Kluyveromyces lactis: one gene and its partner. The protein of the gene in region 1 purifies or fractionates together with the protein of each later gene. This does not show direct contact. Links are inferred from orthologs where the notes say so. Each region holds a gene or a part of one and is shown on either strand. Other genes may lie near its edges.

Region 1 (4,268 bases):
ATTTCATGTTTCCATTATCCAATAGAGATCTGTCGCAGTCTTCTTGTCGTTCATTGTTAGCATTTGAATTATTTTTCTCCGCTAACAAATTTAATAGCTCTTCATCATCATCTGTTTCATTGTTTATAGTTTCCCTGGCGTCACTGTAATTTATTGAAGTTTGGAAAGAGCCAGTTTGGTTTGAATCAATCTGTTCAAGTACATTCGAATATTTTGGCATATCGTCATAGCACCCATTACTCAAATAGTACCTGATTTCACGATTTGATCCGCCTATTTGCTCACATGAATAGACAAACTCGATAAAATTCGTGTTTCTGTCTACCTGGATGGTTATTCTGAAGGCTTTGGGTGTCTTTAACTTACTCAAGAACGTTCGCCGAAAATCTATTAATATGCCTGTATCAGTCTTCAACATGATCAGCATACAAAGTTGTTGACCATGCCAAGATGCAGATTTAAAATTGGCTTGTACTTCTACTTTAAATGAAACATGGATTGCGTTTTGAGTTACCGTCTTTTCTTCTACACTGTATTCGAGCGATAATAAAGGAATCATTTGTAAGTCACTTTTGATTTTATATCCGTTGCCTGGTCGCAAACTGAGATAATATTCGATCTGTTGTTCTGTGAGTTTTTCCATATCTGCAAATGTACATACTCCGTGACTCACTAATTTCCGTAGTGATACCAAACCAATGGTGTTTAGTTGTCTTAAGATCATCGGAGTATCCTCCCAACCTTTACCGGCGACACTACGCAAAAGAAATAAAGTACTTTTCAATGAATCTCCATCATATTTCTCAATAAAGCAATCAATCATACATTTGAGTACTCGAGGAGCATGTCTGAAAACAAGCATCTTATCCTGAACTAATGTTTGGTGATGTTTTTGTGCATCTTTGTAAGAAGGATACTCTAAACCGCTTAATTCGTACTGGATTAATAACGAAATTTTCTGTTCTTTAGAAGTTATTGACATTAGCTGTTTCTTCTTATCTGTAAATGGGTACCGCAAAAGAGGATTTGCATTGATTTCTCGATACAATTTCTTCTCATTATGCTTCAAACGAATACTATCAAATTCGCTAGCATTGGCCAATATTTTAAGTACCTCAAGCGACTTTAGTGATGTGTTTGATCTTATGATGTTTTTGACCGTATCTCCAAGGATATAGTGCCTAGTCATTGCCTGTCCATATCCAGAAGCACACAAATTTCCGTTGTTGTCAAGGATTATTTTATAAGAAAGAAGATCCTTTAGTGTTCGTTCACAAAAATGAGTTAACTGGCATTCAGCGTCCGAAGTCAGTATACTGCTTCTAATAACACTATAATGAGCTGGATTCTTAAGATATCGTCTATAAAAGAAAGTGTTTTTCAACCAATTCATCGCAGATTTTATCGATGTAATAGAATTTAGTGCAATTTCAGCAACAATGTTTTCGGCTAGATTCAAATGCAAACAACTCTCTAAGGTGGAGGTTCCCTTCAAAAGATTCTCGTATTTTTCTTGGGATCCTTCGTCCGTTAAGATCAATGCGGTCCCTTCTGTTTCAAACTGTGGTCTTCCTGCTCTTCCGATCATCTGTAAAATGTCTAGAGTTGAATATTCTTGGGAACCGTTGATGGACCACATCCTTGTACCTTTAATAATAACCAAATAAGCTGGTAAATTGACTCCGACAGCCAAAGTTGAAGTCGAACACAACACTTTTATGTCACCGTTGGTGAATTTGTCTTCAATCACGCTCCTATCCGTCATTGACAATCCGGCATGGTGGAAAGCAATTCCCTTCTGTGCAATCTCGCTTAATTGTTTGTCCTGTAGTTTAATATTTGAACGTTTACTACTGGTGTTATTCATTTCGTGGTCATGTAGGGCGATGTGTCTTGCTGTTACAATGGTCGATTGTCTGGTGGGGCAAAAAATTAGAACAGGTTTTCCTTTGCTGTGCTTGTTAATGAGTTCGACCAATCTTGTATTAAACAAAGCGTCCATTTGGAATTCATTATTGAATTTATTGTAGAATGAATAAACGTGATGTCTTAACACCACCTGTCGGTAACTGTCATCAAAGGCTAGTACTTTTGCTGGAACGCCAGTAGGTCCTCCAGTTTTCAACCAGTCAGCAATATCATGTATATTAGGAATGGTTGCACTTACAGCAACTATTCTCAAATTTTGACACATTGAATTCATTCTAGTAAGAATAACTTCCAATGTACTTCCACGATGCTCCTGCAAAATATGAATCTCATCTACCAACACAAGGCTCAATATGGCAAAGAACTGAGGATAATCTGTCCATTTCCTTGTTATAACATCCCATTTCTCAGGTGTACATATGATGATGTTTGCGGCTTTTACTTTTTCCAATTCTGTGAAGGAAGTATCACTTGTCAACATTCCAACTGATAACATGATAAACTTCGATTTCCACTGTTGATACTTCTCGTTGCATAACGATTTAGTAGGTGCAATATAAAGCACCTTTACCGAAGAAGGTCTATCGAGCCTGTTCATTGCGTTTAAAATGGCTAATTCAAATAAGACTGTCTTTCCGGATCCTGTTGGGGAGGTGACGATGCAGTTTTCATTGGATCGGTAGATGTTTTCGAACGATTCAGTCTGCATTCTATTAAAATTTTCGAAAGGGAATATACACTGAGCAGAGTCCGGTAGCACTGAAACAGGTAACAAACGGATTTCATTAACAGGGTCCTTTTGTAATGTTGCGATTTTGGGTTTTTTCCTTAATGGACGAGTCAAAGAATTCGAGAAATTAAGCTGGAATGTGGTATCATTTGAAGTGTTGGAGCTACTAATTTCATACTCTTTCGACATGTTATAAGGGCCATCAGTACTTAACTCATCCCCACTATCATCGTCGATGATGCTGTTGTATGATATACCTACTTTAAAGTTTGGGCGGCTAGTTGGCTTGTTTGTTCCATTGTCTTTATGGACGTTATTCGATTGTAAATAGTGTTAGAATTTAGGTACTAAATCCATGACGTTTAAATCAGGTCCAATGCACATTTTTATACATCTCTTTGAACTCGAGGGTTATTCTGGAGAAAGGGTATCCGTTTTTATCATGAGCGTATTTCACTTACAGATTCGGTTTGAAGAATCGGAGGTTTGCTGTGTTCTTTTACCGCTTTTGAAAATTGTATCATTTGAACTCGAATATTCCTTCATCGAATGGTACATATGGGATGTAATGGTATATGCTATGATACTATGAACAGTTCCTAAGCTATGTTGAAGATGGTTTTTGCTTTGAACTGATTCAGGTTGAGTGTTTGTTTACTTTGTTGATAATTTGAAAACATAAAGGGAGAAAACAAAGGAATTATGATTGATGATGATTACAGCCGTGGAATAGACGGAATAAGGGTAAAAGAAGTTGTAAAGAGCTACGGTGTCGCCTCGTACGTGCAAGATTTGTGAGTATGAGCTTGGAGGATCAAGAGGTACCTCGGCTGGAAGAGCTTTCCTCCGTATCAGTTGCGGAACATGTTCCCGAAGCAAACGAAGCTGGTTCTTCTGTTGAAAATGACGAAAACGATGGTATTGAAACTATTAATAGGGACGAACAATCAAGCAGTGGTTCTATGAGCGTTCACAGCGATAGTATAGTCAGTGATTATGAGGACGAGCAGATGATTGATTCTGATGAGGACTTACGGAACCAGTTGAAAGGGTTAGGTGAAAGCGTAAAGGAATCCCTTCCTTCAGCAGATATCCCCGATACGACATTGGAATATGCAGGAGAAGTCTATCCCATGTTTTCTAAAGATAATGATAATGGTACAGATAATAATGAGCAGCAAAGCGTTGTTATTGAGGACAGATCACTGATTCATATGGAGCTTAATTATTTAATTGCTGCAATCAGATTGTTTTTACAGAACAAACACGGGGCATTGTCACTAGCATCCAAGGAAATACTACTTCACTTTCCCAACCTTGACTTGCTGTGTAACGAGGATAATCTCTACATCAAAAAGATGACTATGGACGACATTATTTCCATTTTTAAAGTGCTACGCACGAATTCTTTAAGAAACGGTGAAGAGAACGTTCCTTCTACACTTCGAATTGTAGCAAGTTTGCAACCAAGGTTCGTGTCTAGATACAACGATTTGGTCGAAGTAATGGACAATAATGGGAGCTTTGCAGTGGTGCATGGCTTTTCCAATGATGAGAGTCATCCAGTGTTTGTGGATGAAGGAAATCAAGATGGCTCCAATTTTACTGG
Region 2 (4,022 bases), on another chromosome or scaffold:
CGATTGTATGATGGCCTCTCGTTGGGAAATCATTTAGTAAGCATTGATAGTGTTACTGATGCAAACGGTTGTATCAATGACCTATCTTCGAGTGGTAATCAGATTTCAATATCAATAACAGACGTTCCTAGGATATCCCTAGCAGACTCTACCATGGAATATTGTGTTGGGGATTACGTTGGATACCAATTGAGTGGGACACCTCCATTCATAATAAAGTACGACTTCAATGGTAAGCAGCTAAAATCCAAGGAACGTTCCTCTCAGTTCGTCAGATATGCATCTGAGCCCGGCGTTATATCTATTTTTTCAATCCAGGATTCTTCATCACAATGTGTAGTAGATTTCACAAATCCGAAGATGAAACAAGACTTTGAAAGGTTATCTTTGAATATACATCCAATTCCGTCGGTAACAGTATCACAAGGCCAAGAGATTGTTGAAGATATTCATGAAGGTGACAAAGCTGAAGTTATATTCTCCTTCGAAGGTACACCTCCTTTCGCATTAACCTACGTCCGTACTGAAAACTCTGGCACCAAAAAGGGCAGAAAGCAACAAATTGTTGAAACACACAAAGTTTCCGATATCTATACTTACGAGTACAGAGTTGTGACCAGTCTACAAGGTACATATGAAGCTTTAGAAGTGTCAGACGCCTTCTGCGCAGCTAAGAATCGTGCGTTGTTGGATTGAAATTTGATTTCATTGTATAATAAATAACCATCTTAAAACTCATTTGATCCTTCAAAGTGGTGAACTATAGGGCTATCATAAACCAACCTGTTGGCATAAGAATTAGCTGTAAATCTACATCACTATCTTCGCCTTCCATTAGCGTTTGTATTCCATCCAATAAAGGTAATGAGGGCATGCCGCTCCTGTGGAACCAGACCAATTCCTTCTTATAGGCATTTTTCAAGAAACGAAGCTTCCATGGAACGCTTCGGCCGACAGCTTTGCGACATCCGAGATTGAAAGTATGTTCAAACTGTAAGTCGAGGTTTTTAGTAGAGCTGTTGGTTGCTGTATGCTCAATATCAACAAGGGTTGTTGAATGGTCATATTCTGGATCATTTTCCAAAATTCTTCTTCTCTTGCTTGTTGGTTCTTGAAAAAACTCAGAAGATTGCGTCTGCCTCTGATAGTATGTTTCTAGTATGCCCGAACTTTTAATTTGATCGTCAACTATCTCTGTAGTGTTCCTGGCACGGATCCGAGAAAGAATAAATGGATTTGAAAGAGTCGTATTTCTGGATAGCTCTACGTCTTCAAGATCTCGCTCAATGCAGCAATCCTCGGTGTTCACAATGTCAGAATATAGAAGGTTTTCCCTTACTGGTGAAGATCTACCATCGGATAGCGTGCCGCTATACATGTCTGTCAACCATTCAGATTCCTTCTCGAGAATTTGTTGAGTAGGGTTATTGGTTATTTGCCGGTGAATTTGCTTTGGAATGTCACTTGTATTAATTATTCTACGAGTGAAAATCACTGATTCACTATCAATATGGGTAGAATTTGAAGGATCATTATACTGCATGTGTGGAGCGTAGAAGGTGAGCAGTGAACATTGCAAAATAGATAGAGCTTTTTCCAGTGTAAGTGCGACAGCTTTATTTTCGCCATTGACTACAGCATTGTCGCTAGTATGGTGGCATAAAAATTGAATGAACCATGCCCTCGGTTCTGGTTTCCCGAAATGCTTATAAAATTCCTTGAAAAAATGATTGACTTTTTTACCAAAGCCTGATTGTACCATTACTGCTTCTCCATTAATGCAAGGATATTTAAGATTCGGCATCAATTCTGTCACTCTGCCATGTGTTCGAATTTTGGGCAATATGATATTAACTTTTAGAGATTCACTTAGCTCTATCTCATCAAAGTGTTCGAACTCAACTATAAGATTCTGTTTGGTAACATGTTTTTTGAATTGCGACATCCGGTCTTCATATTTACCAAACCGCGCAACATATTCTAAAGTCTTGATACTTCCGTCCCTTAGAGGATTGACAAGCTGGCAACTAAAACATATATGCTTATGAATCAAAGAAAAATGAAAAAGCATATCCCTAATCATTTTAATATAATTTTTATCTTTCTTTGCCAGTCTACTGCTTTTACTTCCCGTCATTAGGTCTCTGAGAATAACTGTCGTACCCGGTGGATTCACTACCTTGGAAAATCTAATAGTTTCATTTATTCTGATTCTAGGTGGTGACCATTTAACAGCAACATTCTCTGAAATAGTCCGTGTTATCACCTCGATAGATCCCTTCTTCGATGCTGTTTTGCCAATATTATATAACGCTCTTCCTTTGTACCCTATTCTTTTGCATGATTTACCGTCAGTTTTGAAGTGTTTAACAAAAACGCTGCTGCGCTTCTGGACACTTATTCCGTTACCATCATCATTCAATTGGATGTACCTACATCCGCCGCTAGATTCATCTATTTTGATCAGCACTTTAGTACAATTGGCGTCTATCGAATTCTCTATCAGCTGTTTAACCGCCGAGACAGGATTATCAATAACACGGTTTGTTGAAGTGCTATTTTCAAACAGCCAACAATGAAACCTATTATTCATACAGCGACTTTACAATATTTATCCCTGGGCAGAATCTCTACTCCTTTTTAAGGCATCTTTTTATTGTATATCTGCTTTCTGTATTTATATGTCAGATCTAAGTTGATGAACTTCAGAGTACATTCGACCAAGCTTTTTCTGAAAAATGTATACCAAGTTGAACCATTAAAAGAAATAAAACATAGAAAAGCTCTCGATTTCAGAGTAGTAGATTGAAGTCAAGTAACGTTAATCTAACCGGGGAAATATGGTACCGGTAAGAATTCCTAGAGAGGTACTCAAAAATGGCAGTTTGCAGCACTCGCGGCCAAAAATCATAACGTTTGATGCATATAATACTCTTTATTCCATCAAAAAACCTGTAATGGAACAGTATTGTATAGTGGGTGCCAAGTACGGGATTAATGGTAATCCACAAGAACTCACTAAGAGATTTCCAGGGGTTTTCAGTAATATCCGTAAAAAGTATCCTTTATATGGTAAAAATTCTGGTATCACGGCTGAACAATGGTGGGAGTATCTAATTAGGGATATGTTTGAACCAATACAGATACCAAATGAAATGGTAGAAGAAATCTTAGAAAGGTTCGAGGGCGATGCTGCCTATACGGTATACCCAGACGTCAGGGAATTTTTGGAGACAATGAGGAGGAACCATCCTGAGGTTTCTTTGGGGATCGTCAGTAATACTGACCCCATTGTCCTTACGTTGTTAGAGAATTTAGATCTTAAGAAATATTTCGACGGAAATATCTATCTGTCTTATGATCTTGAGATAAAAAAACCCGACCCGGCTATGTTTAATTACGCGGTCTCTCATATGTTGAAACGCCACAACACTAGTGGTCAACGTGAGAACTTGGAAAATATTCGGCCACACGTCTGGCATGTTGGTGATGAGGAGAAAACGGATCTGGGAGGAGCTTTCCAAGCTGGAGTAAATGGAATTCTTGTAGATAGATCAAACTCATTCGGTTACTTCGACATAACAACTCCTGATGTTTGCAAAAAGGAGTTATCAGAAGATGATTTATCTCTGAGGAAAGTGTTACACCATTCAGAGGTTATATTACAAGAATCTGATGCAGTCACTGATGTAGTACAATTAAACAGCAGACAGTATGTTTTACCAAATTTTAAATCATTGGAGGCCCTATTATTTCAGCAGTAGCGGCATCTTAAGATATAGTGCTGTAAATATTTGATTGAGCAAACGACACTCTGTATGATGGACTATCCCTCTCTTAAATTCCACCTTGCGTACCCATGCTACTGTCAGGTTTTGGATTGGAAAAAAAATAAGTGGACAAAACCGGAGTCGAACCGATGACCTCTTCCTTGCAAGGGAAGCGCGCTACCAACTGCGCCATTTGCCCCGACACGATTGTTAGTCAAGACTATCAGGTATATACATTTGATGAGCATCATC

Evidence for each region.
Region 2: the proteins of HFM1 (region 1) and MLH2 purify together in Saccharomyces cerevisiae (affinity purification with western blotting; 3 studies listed by BioGRID, with this or other methods). This does not show direct contact. The link is inferred for Kluyveromyces lactis from reciprocal best matches to the Saccharomyces cerevisiae genes HFM1 and MLH2.

What each region holds. Positions count from the first base shown.
Region 1 is NC_006040.1:980,620-984,887, reverse strand, and holds the start of HFM1 (DNA helicase), read right to left. Parts: upstream 2,849-4,268; coding exon 1-2,848. Other genes in the region: RMR1 (Rmr1p), read left to right, coding at 3,460-4,268. UniProt on the Saccharomyces cerevisiae protein: DNA-dependent ATPase and 3'-5' DNA helicase. Required in the control of double strand break transition and crossover during meiosis. ATPase is slightly better stimulated by single-stranded (ss) than double-stranded (ds)DNA.
Region 2 is NC_006042.1:1,583,888-1,587,909, reverse strand, and holds MLH2 (mismatch repair protein MLH2), read right to left. Parts: upstream 2,594-4,022; coding exon 761-2,593; downstream 1-760. Other genes in the region: POM152 (Pom152p), read left to right, coding at 1-696; DPI35 (Dpi35p), read left to right, coding at 2,841-3,764.